3 linked regions of the Drosophila melanogaster genome follow. Changing the gene in region 3 together with the main gene of any one other region gives a genetic interaction. Each region holds a gene or a part of one and is shown on either strand. Other genes may lie near its edges.

Region 1 (7,989 bases), about 14 Mb from region 3:
AGACGGAGTTGATTATACAAATCTTTATACTCACATGCCTGTTATTAACTAGAAGAACTTTTAATGAAAATTTTTTACATTTTTGTCTCTCCAACGACAAAAATATTGAACATTTGCAATAAAACATAAAGTATAAGGCGAGCACTTTGCTTTTTGAAACTGCCAAAAAATTGCCCAATGAAATGCTTTAAAAAATACATAAATGTTAGTGCCTGGAAAATATATACATATATGCCACCACCTGATTCCCTGGTAGATGCCAGCAATATAATCCTATACGTGTATGGAGAGCCTACGGAACTCCAGCTTCCTGATCCCAGAGCACATTTCAATGTTCGGCATTACTAAACTCAGACTAAAACACACCCACAGGCAGCTCAACTTAGGCGTCAAGGATTCGCACAGTCCAAGGTAAAAGCGATGGCCGGCCAAAATGGCAGCGAGGGACCATCCCGAACTGAACTGCTTTGCTCTGATTTTGCAAGTGCTACGTTTTGAGTATGCTTTTTATTTGACCGCATATTGCTTTGCATTCGTTGTTAAAATTATTTTCATTTACTAAGCATAAGCCAAACCGTTGACATGGGAAAAGATAATCAGATAAGTGTCATTTATGCCCCTTTGCAGGCTAACAAACTCAAGGACAACACACCACCGTACGATGCACCGCCGCCCACGCCGATCAGCAAGGTCCTGAACATCACCGGCACCCCGATCGTTCGCAAGGAGAAGCGCCAGACCAGCGCCCGGTACAATGCCTCCAAGAACTGCGAACTGACGGCCCTCATTCCGCTAAACGAGAGTGAGTAGCCTTGGAGTAGATCCTACTACTTAGTATATTACTTTATAATACATGTACTGCCAGCTGTTCAGATCGATATCTCTTAAGCCTGCAGATCGGTTGCATGGGGTAGAACTTGGTCGTAGCCATGTCGTAGCATACATTTTAGGGCAGGGTTCCGTTTAGGCGATATAAAATTACCTTTCTTACTGTCTACCAACATCGTCAATTAAGTTTTTATGCAACTATACACTCAAAACAGATTGTATAAATCGTAGTAATTCCCATTAACGATGCATAATTACATATATTATGTCAATTAACTCCGGTAAATTTCCATGATTATAAGTTCAGCTTTAACTTACAAGAGGCATTCTCTGTAAAGTGTACCTACGACCTGCAAGCTTGTTGGGAATATTGATTGGCCGGCGCTTGATTAATTTCGCTCAGCTGTTGTAATTTGTTTATTATTTGTTAAAGTTAAAGGTCAAGGGAGTGTCGTCTGATTAGGTGGGTGGCAACACTGACGCACGGCCACTCACACATGTGAACCAAGCAGCCGCATCAATTCACACCTCTCTCCACCTCTCTCACTCACCGGAATTTCAACACATGCGCTCTCTCCGCAGCCTCTCATTACACTGGGAGAAAGCATCGTTAGAGGATTTCTCAGACCGTCTTAAATTTCATATATACACCGGCATTTCTTTATGACACAAATGTATTCGATTGATTTAAACTTGTGTATACAAATAATTAGAAAAACTGTATCCTGCAGGGAATTAATTTAAAAAAAAGCAAATTCAATATTTTTGAAAATCATATATGTACATATCTGCGCGTAATGATTATGAAATTGCTACACTTTTTTTTTCTGTGCAGCATGAATGTCATCGCATTGCGTTATTCACATACCTTTCTGCTAATTGCTTGGGCGGTTTCGACTCACAAATCGAATAAACAAATTTCGCTTGTTCAATACTATTTTATTTTATTAGGTTTTATTGTTATTGTGGCTCGCTCGCCCACCAGCCCACTTTCTCTCTCTTTATTTTCTCTCTGTCTGCTGCTCACCAAATTTCTCTCCATTTCATTCTCTCTCGATATCGATTTTTCCGATTGGCGCAGCAGTCGAAGCAACAAAAAAAAAACCGTTTCAAGACCGTGAACGTCGTGTGCCCCGAAAACTTTAATATTAGTTGAAAATATTCGTTTCCCAAGTTAATTGCTCTCCTATCCTATTCCCTCATTTGTTCCCATTCGAACCGTAAGTTTTTCCACGTAATTATGGCCATTTGTGAGGCAAAAGAAGAATTTTAGCAGAGGCGTTGTCATTTCCATTTTCATTTCCAATTGCATTTCATTTCGTTTTGTGTTACCATCAGCGCATAATCGCATTTGGCGTTAATCTAAACCATTATCTATATTGCAATTCCATTACAGATTCTATAGTTTCATACTTAGCGTGCCCAAATTGAGTTTCTAGTGTAGTCTTTCTCATGTGTTGTTGTTGGTCGGCGGGGGCGGCTGGTAAAAAAAACAAGCGTTCCGTATCAAGATTAAAACCGAGTGCCATTTGCTCCAAGTGCCGGCACTAATGAGATGGTCTTCGGTGCTATGTTGCTGACGGGCAACGGGCTCAAAGGTCCCAAACAGCAGCAACAGCAACATCAGCAGGAGCCGCAGCAGCAGCAGCAGCAATCGCAACAGCAGCAGCAAGAGCAAAAGAAACCGGCGCCCATTAAATCCTCCAGCAAGGAGCAGGAAACGCAGCCCATTGCAGCCGGGTATTATGCCCTCGGCATACGCATACCCAAATCTCCATCGTTTCACAGCGGCCTAGATCAGCTGGCCGACGACGAGTTGGACGATCAGGTGCAGGATCAGCAGCAGGAGCAGCAACAGACCGGCAGCCGATTCAGGTTTAGCAGCGTGGAGGAGCTAAAGGCCAAGTTCGAGGGGCGGAAAACGCCCCTCTCACCGCCAGAGGCAGCAGCAGGAGGAGCAGCCGGATCCGGAGCACCCACCACATCCTCCTCACCATCGTCCTCGTCCACCAGCTCCAATTCGTCGGCCTCGGCCCTGTCCTCGCTTTCACAGGCGGCCTCATCCTCGCTAGCCTCGGCGGCTGCTAACTCCTCGGCCTCATCCTCGGCCGCCACATACGGTGGTGGAGCGAATTCGGCTGCAGCTGCACTGATTGCCTCCTCGCCATTTGGATCGCAGTCCTCCACTTCTTCGCTCTCGCTATCCTCGAATGCCGGCATGTCGAAGAACGCGGCAGGAGCAGGATCTGGATCTGGATCTGGAACAACGTCAACGGGCGCTGCTAGCGGCAGCAATTCACTTGTGTCCACTTTGGCACAACATTTCTCGGCGGCCACATCCGCCGCAGCATCGGCGGCAGCCGCTGCGGCATCCTCTGCCTCGGCGGCGTCCTCCTCGTCAGCTTCCTCCTCATCCACCGCCACCAACAACGCAGCCAGCAGCTCCATCGCCGCCAGCAAGGTTTGCAGCTTGGTCTTGTCCACATACACACACACCCAGCGATCTGAAAACCCAAAACATAACCACATCACCACCTCCAAGTACAAACCACAAATTTTACACTTTCTTCCAAACTTTCACTAATTGTGTTAGCTTTTTGGATAACGATAACTAAGTTTCAAAGAAAAAAATAACAATTCAAGTACCTTGTTAATCAAAGTTTTATTTACATTGTACGCTAGAAGCTAATACATTTAGTAGCATCTCACACACTATCCACCAACACTAACTCCATCCCAATTGAACAAACCGAAATTTGATAAACCAAAACCATACTCTGCTCTCATTTCATCGCTTCCTCATCATCCAGTCACCTGTGAGCGCGGCCGCGGCCATAAAGAACATACTGAATGCCACCAAGAGTGTGGGTACTAGTGCTGCGGCGGCGGCAGCAGCGGCGGCCACCTCCTCCTCATCATCCCCATCCTCTGCGGCGGCTGTGCCGTCGTCCGCCGCCACCGCCGTCGCCGCTGTTCCCACCACCAGCGATGTGCCCGCAGAGGAGATGCGTCCGACGGTGGCCCAGAATCTGGTGGGCGGCATTAGCATCTCATTGGGAATTGGCCAGCGCAATGGCGGCGCAGCACCTGCGTCATCAGCAGTAATGGTGACACCTAACGCCACCATGGTGGTGACCACATCGAGCCTAAGCATCCGGCAGAACGGTGACATACTGCCGGGTCATCCGGCGGGTCTTCAGCCCTCGCCCCAGACGCTCCAACAGCTGACGGGCAGTCCGGGAAGGGCTCGCGACCGGAATCTATTCTACACGCCACCCACCGCTTCGGTTGCCATGGCGCTGCCTGCACTGCGAGGTTGCTATCCCGAATGGATCCGGGCCAATGGCGATGGATGGAGCCATTCCAGCCATTGCCCTTGGGCCTGAGGTCCTCCGGCTACTTGATCCTTTCTTCCGATCTTCATTATGTTCGTTTTGAGTTTCGCTTGCCTGCTTTTGGTTGGTCGTTTTTGTAGTTGTAGGTTTTTTTTTTTTAATTTTATATTAAGGTCAATTTTATATGGCTTACATTTTGTTTGATATATCTATCACTTATATTATATATTTAAAAAAATTAATGATGATTTCATTTGTATTTCCATAGAGACCGCCGCCAGTGAACGTGAGGAGCTGTTCATACAGAAGATCCAGCAATGCTGCACACTGTTCGACTTCTCCGAGCCGCTCAGCGACCTCAAGTTCAAGGAGGTGAAGCGGGCGGCTCTGCACGAAATGGTCGATTTCCTCACCAACCAAAATGGCGTAATAACCGAAGTTATTTACCCGGAGGCGATCAATATGGTAAGCTACTAATTTACATATTTAAAATAATATCACATGCTTTTACCACAACATACTTATCTGTTCTCATCAGTTTGCTGTCAACCTTTTCCGAACTCTGCCGCCATCGTCCAACCCGAATGGTGCCGAATTCGATCCGGAGGAGGATGAGCCCACGTTGGAGTCCTCGTGGCCGCATCTGCAACTCGTTTACGAGCTGTTCTTGCGCTTCTTGGAGTCACCAGATTTTCAACCAAGCATGGCAAAACGTTTTATCGACCATCAATTTGTATTACAACTATTGGATTTATTCGATTCGGAGGATCCACGTGAACGTGATTTCCTGAAGACTGTTTTACATCGCATCTATGGAAAATTTTTGGGCTTGAGAGCATTTATTAGAAAGCAGATCAACAATGTCTTTTACAGGTGAGCTCGTCATTGGAATATCTATAAGGTTAATGCCTCACATTACTAATCGCATTCCACATTTAGATTTATTTATGAAACGGAGCATCATAATGGCATAGCCGAATTGTTGGAAATCCTGGGTAGCATTATCAATGGCTTTGCTCTGCCGCTTAAGGAGGAGCATAAACAATTTTTACTTAAGGTATTGCTGCCATTGCACAAAGCCAAGAGCCTCTCGGTCTACCATCCGCAGCTCACCTATTGTGTGGTGCAGTTCCTGGAGAAGGATCCTAGCTTATCGGAGGCGGTCATCAAGTGAGTAAAGAATTCCTTATTTTGCGCATTTTCTAATTAGCCTATCGCTGCCATATTTCAATATTCTTGCAGAAGCCTACTTAAATTTTGGCCCAAGACGCACAGTCCCAAGGAGGTTATGTTTTTGAACGAGCTGGAGGAGCTGTTGGACGTAATTGAGCCGGCCGAGTTCCAGAAGGTGATGGTGCCGCTGTTCCGCCAAATAGCCAAGTGCGTCTCTTCGCCTCATTTCCAGGTGGCCGAACGTGCGTTGTACTATTGGAACAACGAGTACATTATGTCGCTGATAACGGATAACTCGGCGGTGATATTACCCATTATGTTCCCAGCGCTCAATCGCAACTCAAAGACGCACTGGAACAAGACCATCCATGGTCTGATCTACAATGCACTCAAGCTGTTCATGGAGATAGATCAGCGGCTTTTTGACGAGTGCAGCAAGAACTACAAGCAAGAGAAGCAGATGTATGTGTTAACTTTAGTTGATAATTAACTTCCATGGGACGATGCACTCACGTTTTATTACTTTGTACTAAACATTGGCGTTTTTTTTTTTTTTTTGCATTGCAGGGAGCGTGAGAAGCTGTCGCAAAGGGAGGAGCTCTGGCAACAGGTGGAGAGCTTGGCCAAGACCAACCCGGAGTGGACAAAGGCGCGCCGGTTTAACGACTGCCTGCCGGTCAGCGACAGCCGGGCCCTGTGCGATCAATATAGTGAGAACAGCGATTCAGCGTATGATCAGAGCGAGCAGAGGGCGCGCCAGCCGCCGCCTCCGCTGCCGCCACAGAAACAGGCGCACCAGGAGCCCCGAGAGGTGAGACAGGCACTTGCCACATTAACAACACTAAACAACTACTAATCCGCCACGTGTGATCCTGGCGTCGCTGTGAGCTGTGCCCAGCTAAGGCCCACTCTGTTTCAACTCTAATTCTAATCGAACGAATGTCTGTTAAAATAATCACACTCATGTCATTTAAAAAAAAAAAAATACATATTTGTATATCTTTAACTTTGTCTATTTATTTATTAATTATTTGGTAACCTCACTGTCTGCCAAACCAAACGCATCCATGCAAATTCATCCACGACACAACAACTTTTCTCCTGCACTTTTGGTTAACCGCATACGAATTGGGCGGAATTAATATGTAGTTTATCTTACTTAGATGTTAATTACACTTTGGTCCATCTTTTAACTCATTTGTGGTCATTTTAATGAGAGAACGCGTTCCTTTTGTAACATCAATATGATTCTCATTTATTAATTTGAACACTTAACATAATTTTCCTCAAGTGAATCACCATTTTTAAGCATGAATCCCAGTTAGAGTAAAATCTGTGCACATAACTATTAAAAACTAGTGTCAAATGTATCATGTTGTTAACAACTCAGAACCAGAAACCATACAACACTCCTCGATCTCAGACCTTTGTAACACAATTCGACATTCGGGTGTAGATGTATATATATATCGTAGTCGTGTGTTGTCCAACTGGTGGTCATCGAGTTTCCATCCAGCACCACAGCACTCGATATCGTAACGCAATCATCCCGCACCACCGTGTAACTTCACCCGCCCAGTGTGTGTGTGTGTGTGTGCTGCGATGCCTTAGTGTCAGAAGCGGGTCCATTTTCTATTGCCAAACCCCCCTTCCCGTTCCACACAGATTCGTGGCGAACGGAACAAGGACAAGCCGCTGCTGCGCCGGAAATCGGACCTGCCATCGGACAGTGGAACCGTGAAGGCGCTAAACGAGCACAAGCGGACGGATGAGTACCTCACAACGCCGCCGCCGGATGGAAACTACTAGGAGAGAGCTGGCCAGCCGACGCCACCAATATTCGTAGCTCCAATGAGGAGGATAGTCAAACCACAGAACTTACCCAAATAGACCTACACACTCCAGACTAAGGCCAGAAAGCATACATATATAGAAGCACAAGTCCAAGTCCAGAGATGAAGGATAGAATCCGCACAACTAGAGAACAAACAATTTTGAACGATGCATTTGCATTTGGGGGCTTAGAGTGGGGGCGTGGCAACGGATGCAAGCCAATTGCTATATATATATACACATACAAAATACCTATCTTTAGTGATCATGCATAGTACCAATAAAGATCAAGAATCCCCAACGAGATCGATTGTCTAGCTCCAATTTCGTTTGCATATGCATTTCAAGATTACCCTTTTGCTCCAACGCATGCCACAGTGAAGCTTAGCCCTGAATGACCTTCTTATATATATTCTTATTTCTTATATCTTTTACCCAATGCATGTTGCTGCTAGCGTTGCTTTAGCTATAGCCCTATCAATTAGATCTAATTGTGCAATAATCTGGTATCACAACTATGCTCTTACCATTTCAGTAAACGCGTGAATATAATTGTACAGTTGAATTTGAATTGTCTAACTTAAGGCGTAGGCGTTTACCACCTTGATTGAGTACATATATATCCCCCGATTTCTGCCACATGCATACATAGATAGCTATATGACATCCAGACATTCATGCCACATGCCACTATTATACACACATACTATATAAAACATGTTTACTACTCCACGACTCAAATTTGCAAATATTGTACGCTATTTAGCCTAGCAGTTAGAGCAGCATACCCATAATATATTTATATGAAACAAATCGCCCA
Region 2 (4,600 bases), on a different chromosome or scaffold from region 3:
AATCACGAGAATCACGACTGCAGGTAGGTCCGTGGCATATGTACGTATGCATGTTTTTGCGTCCATCTCCGTATATATATATATATATGTATGTATGTATGTATATGTATGCACTTGTAAAAATCAATTAAACTTTTCAAGTGAAGTTATAATGGCTGGCAACCCTTTCGAGCACTCACACTCATTTTTCTGCTTGATTTTTTGCGGACTTTCGACTTTCCCCTACATACATACATACACATATATTGTTTTTGTTGCCTCTGGCTGTTCAGTCAGTTTCTTATTGTTTTCATAGCCTTGCAACGCCTTGTTGTTGCAGTTGTCAAAAGTTTTAAAATAATTGGATTTTTTTCGGTCTCCATGTGCGAACGAGTGAGTGAGTGAGAGCACTGTGAGCACAGAACACGAACATCGGAATGTCGACGACTGCAGCCGAAAAAAAGGAGAGAGAGAGGTGGTGGAAAATGGAGGTATTGCCGCCCCCAAACTCATTCTATATAAATTAAAATTTCTTTGTTGCAAACCCCTTCGCGTTCACACACACACACACACCGACATCCAGACACAGGAGGGTACTTAATGCAGGATTGCTGCAGTCATCCAACCAACGCCATCATCACGAGTATTACCCAATTTCCAGCTGAAGTTTTCAACACCAAATTGTAAACGTCAACAACAAGCGGCGAAAAAGAAGAGTGGGCGTGGCCGATCAGCCGCCTTTATATAGCCAACGATGGCATGACGAACGAATGGTAAAACGCTGTTTGAACAGTGAGAATGGAAGGTGGGGGGGGGGGGGGTGCCCATTGAAGTACTAGTCCTTTTGCTTTGGCTCCAACTGAGGCCCATAGGGCTAATGGGAGTGGGGATAGTTCGAGTCGCTGTGAAATGCAAAGAGCAAATTAAGCCCCCTCTCATTTATCAATATCAATCCATCCATCTATATATATATATATATCTAGCTACTGTTTTCATTCAATAGGAGCAACCACATGTTAATATAATAAACAAGTTACATAGTAATTTCAACTTGGTCAGCACCTAATTAACCCCAAGCCCTGCGAACGATGTATCAAGCGATATAATTTCAATTAGGCTAATGTAAGCCATAGAATAGCCTATAGTTTTTAACAACCATATCCTACGATTTTCGATTCTGTTTCTGCCAAAGAAAGTAGCCCTTACCACTTGTGAAGCCTACTTTGGGTATTCGTTATACATGGCGTATGCGTATTATTTTACACTGGCGCAGAAAAAACGTTTTTGTTTCAAACCTCATTTCAAGTTTGGATCGAAAAAGGAATGAAAGGAAAAATTTTTACTTCGCCCCTTCGTCGGCAATTTTTCTCCTTTCTGCTTCTGCTTCTAATAAAAACACTTGACACCAAAAACGAGGAAAGTTCCTTGAGGCAAGTGGTGAAAGACATTTTAGGTTGAGTTGTGTTGTACGAGTTTCTACAACGAAAATATTAAATACTTGTCAAAACACTTGGAAAGGCTTTTTTTCAGAATATTTACTTTTATAAGTTTTATTGAGAATTTACTCAAAAATAATATTTTATACTAGAGAATTGAGCAGAAGGCTCTGAATAAGGAACTCGCTTGAAAATATTGAATAGCAGATAATGTCAATTGAAAAATGCTTCATTTTGAGAACAGCTTTAAGCATTAGTAAACATTTTGGCTTTAAAACAACCTATATATATAGAATCTTATTTAGCTTTGCAAGGCCAGGCCAAACTTAAATTTTCTTGAGCTCTTGCCAAGAACTTCCCATTACTTGCCGAGGACATAACTATGTCAATCTGCAGACCCACACTCACACAGGACACACACTGCAGTCCTTTTTTCGCCTTAGCTGAAAATCACTTCGCAGCTGGTCCTAAAACGATTTTAGGCCGCTCCAATCACAAACACACACTCTCGGCACACCCGAATCGGAAGGCAGCGAAAACATCAGCCACAACAATCCTTGCAGGACGCAGCGTTATTTTCGCACCAAACTGCAGGAAACCCCGCCAGGACCTCAATCGAAAAAGAACTGTGAAAAATTGCCAACCGTTTCGCTTTGAGGCCAAAAGGAGCGGGCCGAAAAAAGAGCTGCTCGCTCGTAAAACTGCAAATGAAAATAGATAAAAAGTATCTGTCGTCCCAACCAGTAAACTTCATTTTGTAAATCAATTGAATTTTCAATTGTGTGCGAGCAAACTAAACCAAACCAAACCAAACCACGACGAAACGACGGAGCACAAAAAGAAAAAGTAGGTAAACATAAAAGGACAAATAAAGGAAACGACACTATTACGGAAGAAAGGATGGGGAGACCGAAGGAATCCCCTTCTCCCCGGGGCAATCGTTTCAATCTCCATCTCGAGCAGCGGCACAGGATTGCCGTTTCTTATTAGCAGGGCCAGGACGATAAGGATAAAGTCCATATATATATCGATATTCATAAGGAAATTCCAGGTCACACGCACACACCACACACCAGGCTTCTGATAATTTTCAGAGTTTGTTTTCTCTTTAGATTTTACCGATTTATCCGCCAGGTATTATCGGCTACGTCAGTTGTTCTTCGGTAATTATGTTTCGCGGAAGTTCCTCGCCTGCAACTCGGATGGTGTAATTATGGGAATAATTTTTTAACCGGCTTGCGGCAAAACACGTTCACAAAAACAAGTGCACACATATGTACGAGTACAGCGGCAACAACGAGTTAATGGAGAAAGGGTTGAAGGGGGTTGAACCGAGGCAAGCCGAGGAGTTCGACGATTTGGTTTTTGGTTAACTTGGCTAAAATCACTTTGCCGGATTTTCGAAATGCTGCGGCTCTTTGCTATTGCATTATAACCGAGTACGATCTGTGGTTATGTTATATCACTCGAAATTGGATTCAAACGATTCGTTGGATTTTTTGCGAATTTTGTGTAATATACAATTTGCTGTCGCGCTGCTTGTTGCCCGATTATCGCACACACACGGCTGAGAAGGACGCGCTCTGTTTCTTACACGCTCGTTACATCCTGCCAAATCCCGAAATTGTACTAAATACGTACAAAACTTTTACGATTGGCTAAGGCTGCTAGCAGCAATGCTCGTGTTTTCCTCGCGTTCAGTGTGTGCGTTTGTGAGTCGCCACTCGACCCGAAGAGTCCTTCAGCGTGCCCGAGGATGCGCCGACCGAGCGCCGAGTGTGGTGGATTTTTCCGGAGAGCGGAAAAGCCGAGAAATTCGCCAGCCGAAGCTGCGAGCGATGGAAGAGAAACACCAAAGGATGGCTACTCAAAAGGAACTCACTTTGTACTCAGAACTCAATCGAATAGACAAACCATTCTGGGAAATGTTAAGAGCACACAAATCGGAGTGATTCTAAATAGCATTCAAAAATCACTCAGTTTAAAATGTTATGGAACAGTTGAGTGCAAGGAATATTTGATAAAATAACATAAAATAAATTTGAAAAAAATGTAAAATAAACTGAGAGGAATTACGAAACATCATTTTTAGCATGAGTTTCAAAAAATATTTTATATTTAATATAAAATTGGGATTTTCTTTAGCATTATAAAAATTATTATTTAATTCTTATAAATGTATGGGAATGGTAAATCCAGTTTACACTGCTCGCTCGATTCGAGCTAATTTATTTAACATTGAGATAATCACTGAGTGCTTTTATAGCAAAACCAGCAATGTTTCTCTTAGAGTGAAGTGCTTGCTGGGTAATAACATTTATAGCTCAACTAAAAAGGACTCGAATTGCAGACGCAAAGAGTACAGGCTTATATGAGAAATGTAAACGCATTTTAAATGCTCAAAGGCAACAAAACAGACTCACTCAATTTCGAGATTCGAGACCTGCGAGGCTTAGAACATGAAACCAAAGAGAAGCAAATCTGCGATTAAGGCAACTCAATCCTTCTCAGCAAGGACTTGCTCGAAGAGAGCCTGGTGAGATGGCTAAACGAGCTTTCGACGTGGGTGAATCGGAAAGGTTCGGCTTTTAGGCGCCGAGCCCGTCGACGAAGGTGAAAAGCGAATCGCGTCCACGAAAAGCCCGCCATTGACTTTGACCGTCGTTCGCCAGTCGTCAGTTTCAACTGGAGCGGCGGGCAGTAAGCTGAAATCGGCTGAAAGGACGAGCTGGCAGGATATTTCGCAGAAGGGCGAACCAGCGCAGTGCCGAGCAGGAAAAGGCGAGAAACGGCCTGTGCTAATTTTCCTGGCTAGCTAGATTTTTGGCGCGCTCCAGATTTAATCCTGCAGTCTAAGTGAATGTGAAATGTAACAAGCCAAGTGACAGTTACCAAAAGTCAGAAGACAAAAGGAAGGGAGGAAAGCTAAAAGGCAGAAAGCCACCGAACAGATGGAAACAACTCGCAGATGCTGATGTTCCTGCCCCAGGAGACATTTAACATAATAAAAACGAACGTGTGCGGCATTTTGTGTTGCCTTTTGGCCAAGTTAACTCCTGTTCCTGCATCTGTGTGTGTGTGTGTGTGTGTTCGTTACATGCTAATATCACAGACACTCGCCCGCGCACAACCCACACAAACTTACAAACAAACAATATTGCAAATGTGTGCGTGAGGCAGTTGGC
Region 3 (4,578 bases):
CGTCTGACCAAGTTCCTGCATCACCATGTGTACGCTAGCACCAATCTCCGAGGGATACGCGTCACCCCGGTTCACAGCCTTAAGGGGAAGGGAGTGGGCAGTGAAGAGGATGACCACATCATTTCGTTTCGTTTCCACAAATTTGGCCAGCTCGTCGCGAATTCGCTGGGCAAACGTTTTGATTAGAAGTGGATGAGTGCCCCACCTGTCGATAATGCTCCATTTGATATCCGAGGGCAGATTACTAAAGAGGTAGAGGGGATCAAATAAATAGCTGCAATTGTGCATTTCTAACTCACTTGCTCCGATAATGAGTAAATATGGAGTTAAAGCTGGATCCGGAGGTGGCGCAGCTGTACTGTGGATATTGTGAAAAGAGTACAACGCGCTCTGGTTTGTCCCTGTAAATATGTTAAAATATTAACATGTATTCTTTAAGTAGCGCAAATGACCATAATTTCCAGGTTTAGGTTTCAGTAATTTGTCCAAGAAGTCAACTGATAATAGCAGGACATTGAAACATGCATAAGAAGTCAGAAGTCTATACAAACTTATTTACTAGAACATATCTTATTGTGAGAGTCCGTAGCAATATATATAGGTCAATTTCACGACCTTCGGATTATTTACATCACTCTTGTTCTACTTCTCGACTACACTCACTTTTCGATCTCGGCCAGCGTGTTCTCAGTGAGGGGATTCACGTAGCGGAAACCGACGTAGTGCTTGTGAGGTGCTGTCTCCGGGGAGATTCTGTCCAACTGCTCGCACATGAGCTGGCCCTGCAGCTCGGTCCACTTAAGAATCGGTGAACCACCGCCGATCTCCTTGTACTTCTTCTGTACCTCGGGCGTCCTGCGCTGGGCGATCCACGGACCAAGACGGCTCTGCACCGGCAGCTGGATCATGTCCCGGTCGGTCATAATACGCAGGAGGTAGTCATGCACCTGGTCCGTGTGGGTCGGACCGCCCATGTTCAGCATTAGGATCGCGGTCTTCGGTTTTTGGCCGCTCAGGTTGCGCACTCCTCCTGCCAGACCACCTGTTGGGGAATATGTAGGAATGTCGTGGGAACTGTATCCACTCGTATACTCACTTGCCAGTCTGCAAAACTTTGTGTTATGCAAAAACATAGTTCCTTTTAAATTGACCCAAATTGATGGCACCGGTGTCGAATAGTGTTACCAGTTGCTAAAATAGTTTAAATACCAAAATGTATGATCTCACAGATTCTAGAGTTTTTCCAAACGTAACAGAGTTCTGTAAAAAGTAACCGTCACGCCATCTATGTGTGTAAAATAGCTGCCAACTATTACTCAACAGTAATCTAAATATTTAAAAATTTTTCCTTTTGTTACACATTTACCATTTAATTTCTCTTTATTGAAACCGAAACCAATATTTGGTATATACTGTTCTTCAAGCGACCAACAGAAATTTTTCGCGCATGCGTCCTTATTTCTTTCCCTTGTCATCAACGCTGCGTGCAACGGTAAAAGCTGACTGTGGTGCAGTCTCGCTCTTGCACGCTGCATTTCGCTCTCGTCGCTTGCTGCGAGTGTTTCGTTTCCTCCGATCAAATAATATTTTGTAGTTTTTCCACCGAATGCAGGCACAATTGCTTCGTAAAAACGCAATAAAAGGCGCGGCCCATGGTCCGAAAAGATAAGAAAGCTTGAAAAACAACCGAAAGTGTCGTTTAACATCGGAGAAAAGCAAAAGGACAAGCGGCGCAGCACAGTGAAAAAAACGTAGGAAGTTTTGGAGTGAGTGAGAGGGAAGGAGTTCCACCGCGGTGGTGGGTGTACGTGCGCGAGTATTGGTGATGTGTCCATGTCCGTGTTATCGCCACCAGCATTAAAGTGCTCCAATTCGTGGCGCACGCGCAGAATAACTAGCGCTCTCTTGCTCTCTTTCTCGACTTAGAAGAGGAACAGGATATTTTATTATACTGAAATTCCTACTCAGGAAATTCGCATAGTTGCGAAAGCTTCGCGCTGCCACACGGACGCATTCCGCTACGGGTTCCCCGCACCACCCACACACTCTCACACCCGCCTGCCGCGAGCCCACACACCGCGCCCGCAAGCACTCTCGCGCACAGATCAATGAAAAGGCCAAAAAATAAATTGCACCTTTTCCGGGAACCAAAAACATGTTGAAATTATCTCACAAGTTACGCAAAAAATGCCGCAGCAAAAAAGTTGCATGGGATGCCGTGAATGCGACGAAAGTGTGAAACGAAACGAAAGGCAACGAAAGACGGTGCAGAAAGGAGCAAAGAGAGGCTGCAAGGATGTACTGCTTCTCAAAATCCCAAGCCATTGACCACCGAATCAGCGATAAGTCTCTAACAACAAAAACCTGCACCTAGCCAATTGCATTTTGCATTCGCATTCTTACTGCCCCGGAAGTAAAAGCAGCTTCAGCGGAAATTAAAACCAATCAAAGCCGAAATAAAAGGTAACGCTAGCGAGCGAAAGAGATAGACATTTTTAGAGAAAAAGAGAGAGCAAGAGAGAGCTACCATAGAGAGCAAGTGCATCCTTTTCACAACGCGGCACACATTTACGACCGGTGACTGCAACTAGCCCACTCCCATACCTCCGCCCCTCTTCAACCCGACCCCAGTTGTCCCTTGCAATTTGTGATCTCACGTTTTCATAACTTGGGCAGTAGCCGTTGGCACGGATTAGACGCAAAACGTCAAGCATTAGGACGTCAGGAGAAACGCAGTTCCACAGTGCAGGTGAGTTTTCAACAAAGGGACCTATCCAGGAAACTCACTGGCGGCTATGCATTTAGTTAATTAAAAAACTATTTGAAGGGTGAAAAGTCCATCATAGGAAATGACCTTGTCGCTATCAAATTCGGCTGTGCTTGATAAGGCTCCCACAACTCGAATAAGCGATCATTTGTGGCAAGTGTGATTATGCGCAATTTTCTGTTAAAACAAATCCTGTTTCCAGAACTTCTAATGCTTTGTTGGTTAGCGTTATTTTGCCTTTTACTAAAAACCTTTTGAAAGAAAAGGAAACGTCTTCTGATAGGCTATCATCATTCATTGTAGTCATTGGAGGTGGAGGTTCCAATTTAATCGTAAGAAAACATGGCATATCGTCAAATCAATTCGAGCAAATGTAATATAAGCGGTGTCTATTCCAGCAGCAAATTATTTCAAGATCTCCTCTATTACACACAAGAGATGAAGATCTAGGATATATACGACTAGGTGAGAGGAACAGAAAGCAAAACATTTACCGCGACATTAACAATCAAAAATCTTGTTTGGACGCTTTTTATGCTCAAAGCCCCCATAACTTTTTACACCCCGAATCGCCCCTTCAGTCCGCCAAACTACCCCCAAGCTAAAAGCTTTGCTCCAATTTACCAGCAAACAGAGAACTTTGTGTGGAGCCCCATACCATACAAATAATTTAAAAAAGCTGAGCCGCACAACTATCTTAATTTTATGTTAGAACTAAAGCCCCTTGTATAAAAAAAATGATAGCAAGCCTCTTACGGTAGCCAAAAATGGATTTCCATAGAGACCATTAAAATCGCTTGGTACTTTTTGTTGTATTAATTTACGTTGTTATTTATTAACTTATTTTAAGGCAGTATTGTTCACATATAGAAAATCTTTAAACAGAAAGTTATTTTTAAAATTGCATATTATTTTGTTTGGTCCTTATGTGTGTGGTATAAGCCGAGCTGTAATACAACATGTGGATGGCGACTTCCATTCTGTGCAGCCATAATTCCATCTTTTTGATTCTGCCCTCACTAATTAGATAAATTCACAGTTTCCCCGCAACTTTGCTAGTTTTTATGGTTTCGAGCATATTTTTGGCATTTTAATGCGACTTCTATCCGTCGTCCAAATGGCGAGTTGGGAGCTCCAAATTCGGAGTTGCGAGTTTCTAGTTGCGGGTTGCTGGTGGCATGTTGCACAGTCGTCAGGTGAGTCAGCTGAGCACCGGCAGAAAGGACCACATGGCGCGAAGCGACTGCACTGAAAATTGGGGTTTTACCATGCAGATAATGGGATCCGATCTGAAAAGTAAATGATCGTAATATCGGTTGTCAAGAGCTGCGAGTCAGTTGTGGGGCCTTTTCGCGTTACAATTATAAGCTGAGCCGATAAATATAACTTCTAAAAGAAAGAGTATCCTTTTTTTGCCTCAGTGGGTGTGCAGTCGCATGAGCGTGCGGCAAAGCCCAGTGGGTGTGGGTGGGATGGTGGGTTTGCGGGTTAGGGTCCGACGGTCCCCAGTGGTGGGTCTGTGTTTCTTCTTTCGATGTATATTCCTTTGTCGGGTGCTACTAACCAGTCAAAGTGTGGAAAAGGGACTCATGGGGATGTGGCGTTGTGGATAAACTTCAACGCAGCAATAACCATACCAAACCAAATAATGCCATGATGGGGTTACAACTGAGCCCAAAGAGGGAAATCGATAAATCTGCCTGTCGTCATTGTAGCACTGCCTCAAGTAAAAATAATTTTAAAGTTTAAAATTCATATCGATATCTTATTAAATTCGGTTTTCACTATTTATGACAATTTCGTAATATTTG

What was found.
Region 1: of RhoGAP100F (region 3) and wrd, changing one suppresses a phenotype caused by changing the other (phenotypic suppression), as found in Drosophila melanogaster (one study listed by BioGRID).
Region 2: of RhoGAP100F (region 3) and Lar, changing one suppresses a phenotype caused by changing the other (phenotypic suppression), as found in Drosophila melanogaster (one study listed by BioGRID).

Annotation. Positions count from the first base shown.
Region 1 is NT_033777.3:18,170,902-18,178,890, forward strand, and holds wrd (well-rounded), read left to right. Parts: upstream 1-1,942; 5' UTR 1,943-2,048; intron 2,049-2,224; 5' UTR 2,225-2,383; coding exon 2,384-3,289; intron 3,290-3,638; coding exon 3,639-4,143; intron 4,144-4,431; coding exon 4,432-4,628; intron 4,629-4,701; coding exon 4,702-5,036; intron 5,037-5,102; coding exon 5,103-5,333; intron 5,334-5,405; coding exon 5,406-5,798; intron 5,799-5,903; coding exon 5,904-6,147; coding exon of another isoform or gene 6,148-6,192; exon of another isoform or gene 6,193-6,340; intron 6,341-7,001; coding exon 7,002-7,145; 3' UTR 7,146-7,474; downstream 7,475-7,989.
Region 2 is NT_033779.5:19,605,016-19,609,615, reverse strand, and holds the start of Lar (Leukocyte-antigen-related-like), read right to left. Parts: upstream 3,048-4,600; 5' UTR 2,535-3,047; intron 1-2,534. UniProt on the Drosophila melanogaster protein: Possible cell adhesion receptor. It possesses an intrinsic protein tyrosine phosphatase activity (PTPase). It controls motor axon guidance. In the developing eye, has a role in normal axonal targeting of the R7 photoreceptor, where it negatively regulates bdl.
Region 3 is NT_033777.3:31,811,078-31,815,655, forward strand, and holds the start of RhoGAP100F (Rho GTPase activating protein at 100F), read left to right. Parts: upstream 1-1,531; 5' UTR 1,532-2,749; intron 2,750-4,578. Other genes in the region: FeCH (ferrochelatase), read right to left, coding at 1-244, 300-401, 664-1,042, 1,097-1,133. UniProt on the Drosophila melanogaster protein: GTPase activator for the Rho-type GTPases by converting them to an inactive GDP-bound state. Promotes the anchoring of Liprin-alpha clusters at synapses. Recruits and keeps Nrx-1 levels high in active zones in the presynapse opposite the postsynaptic region.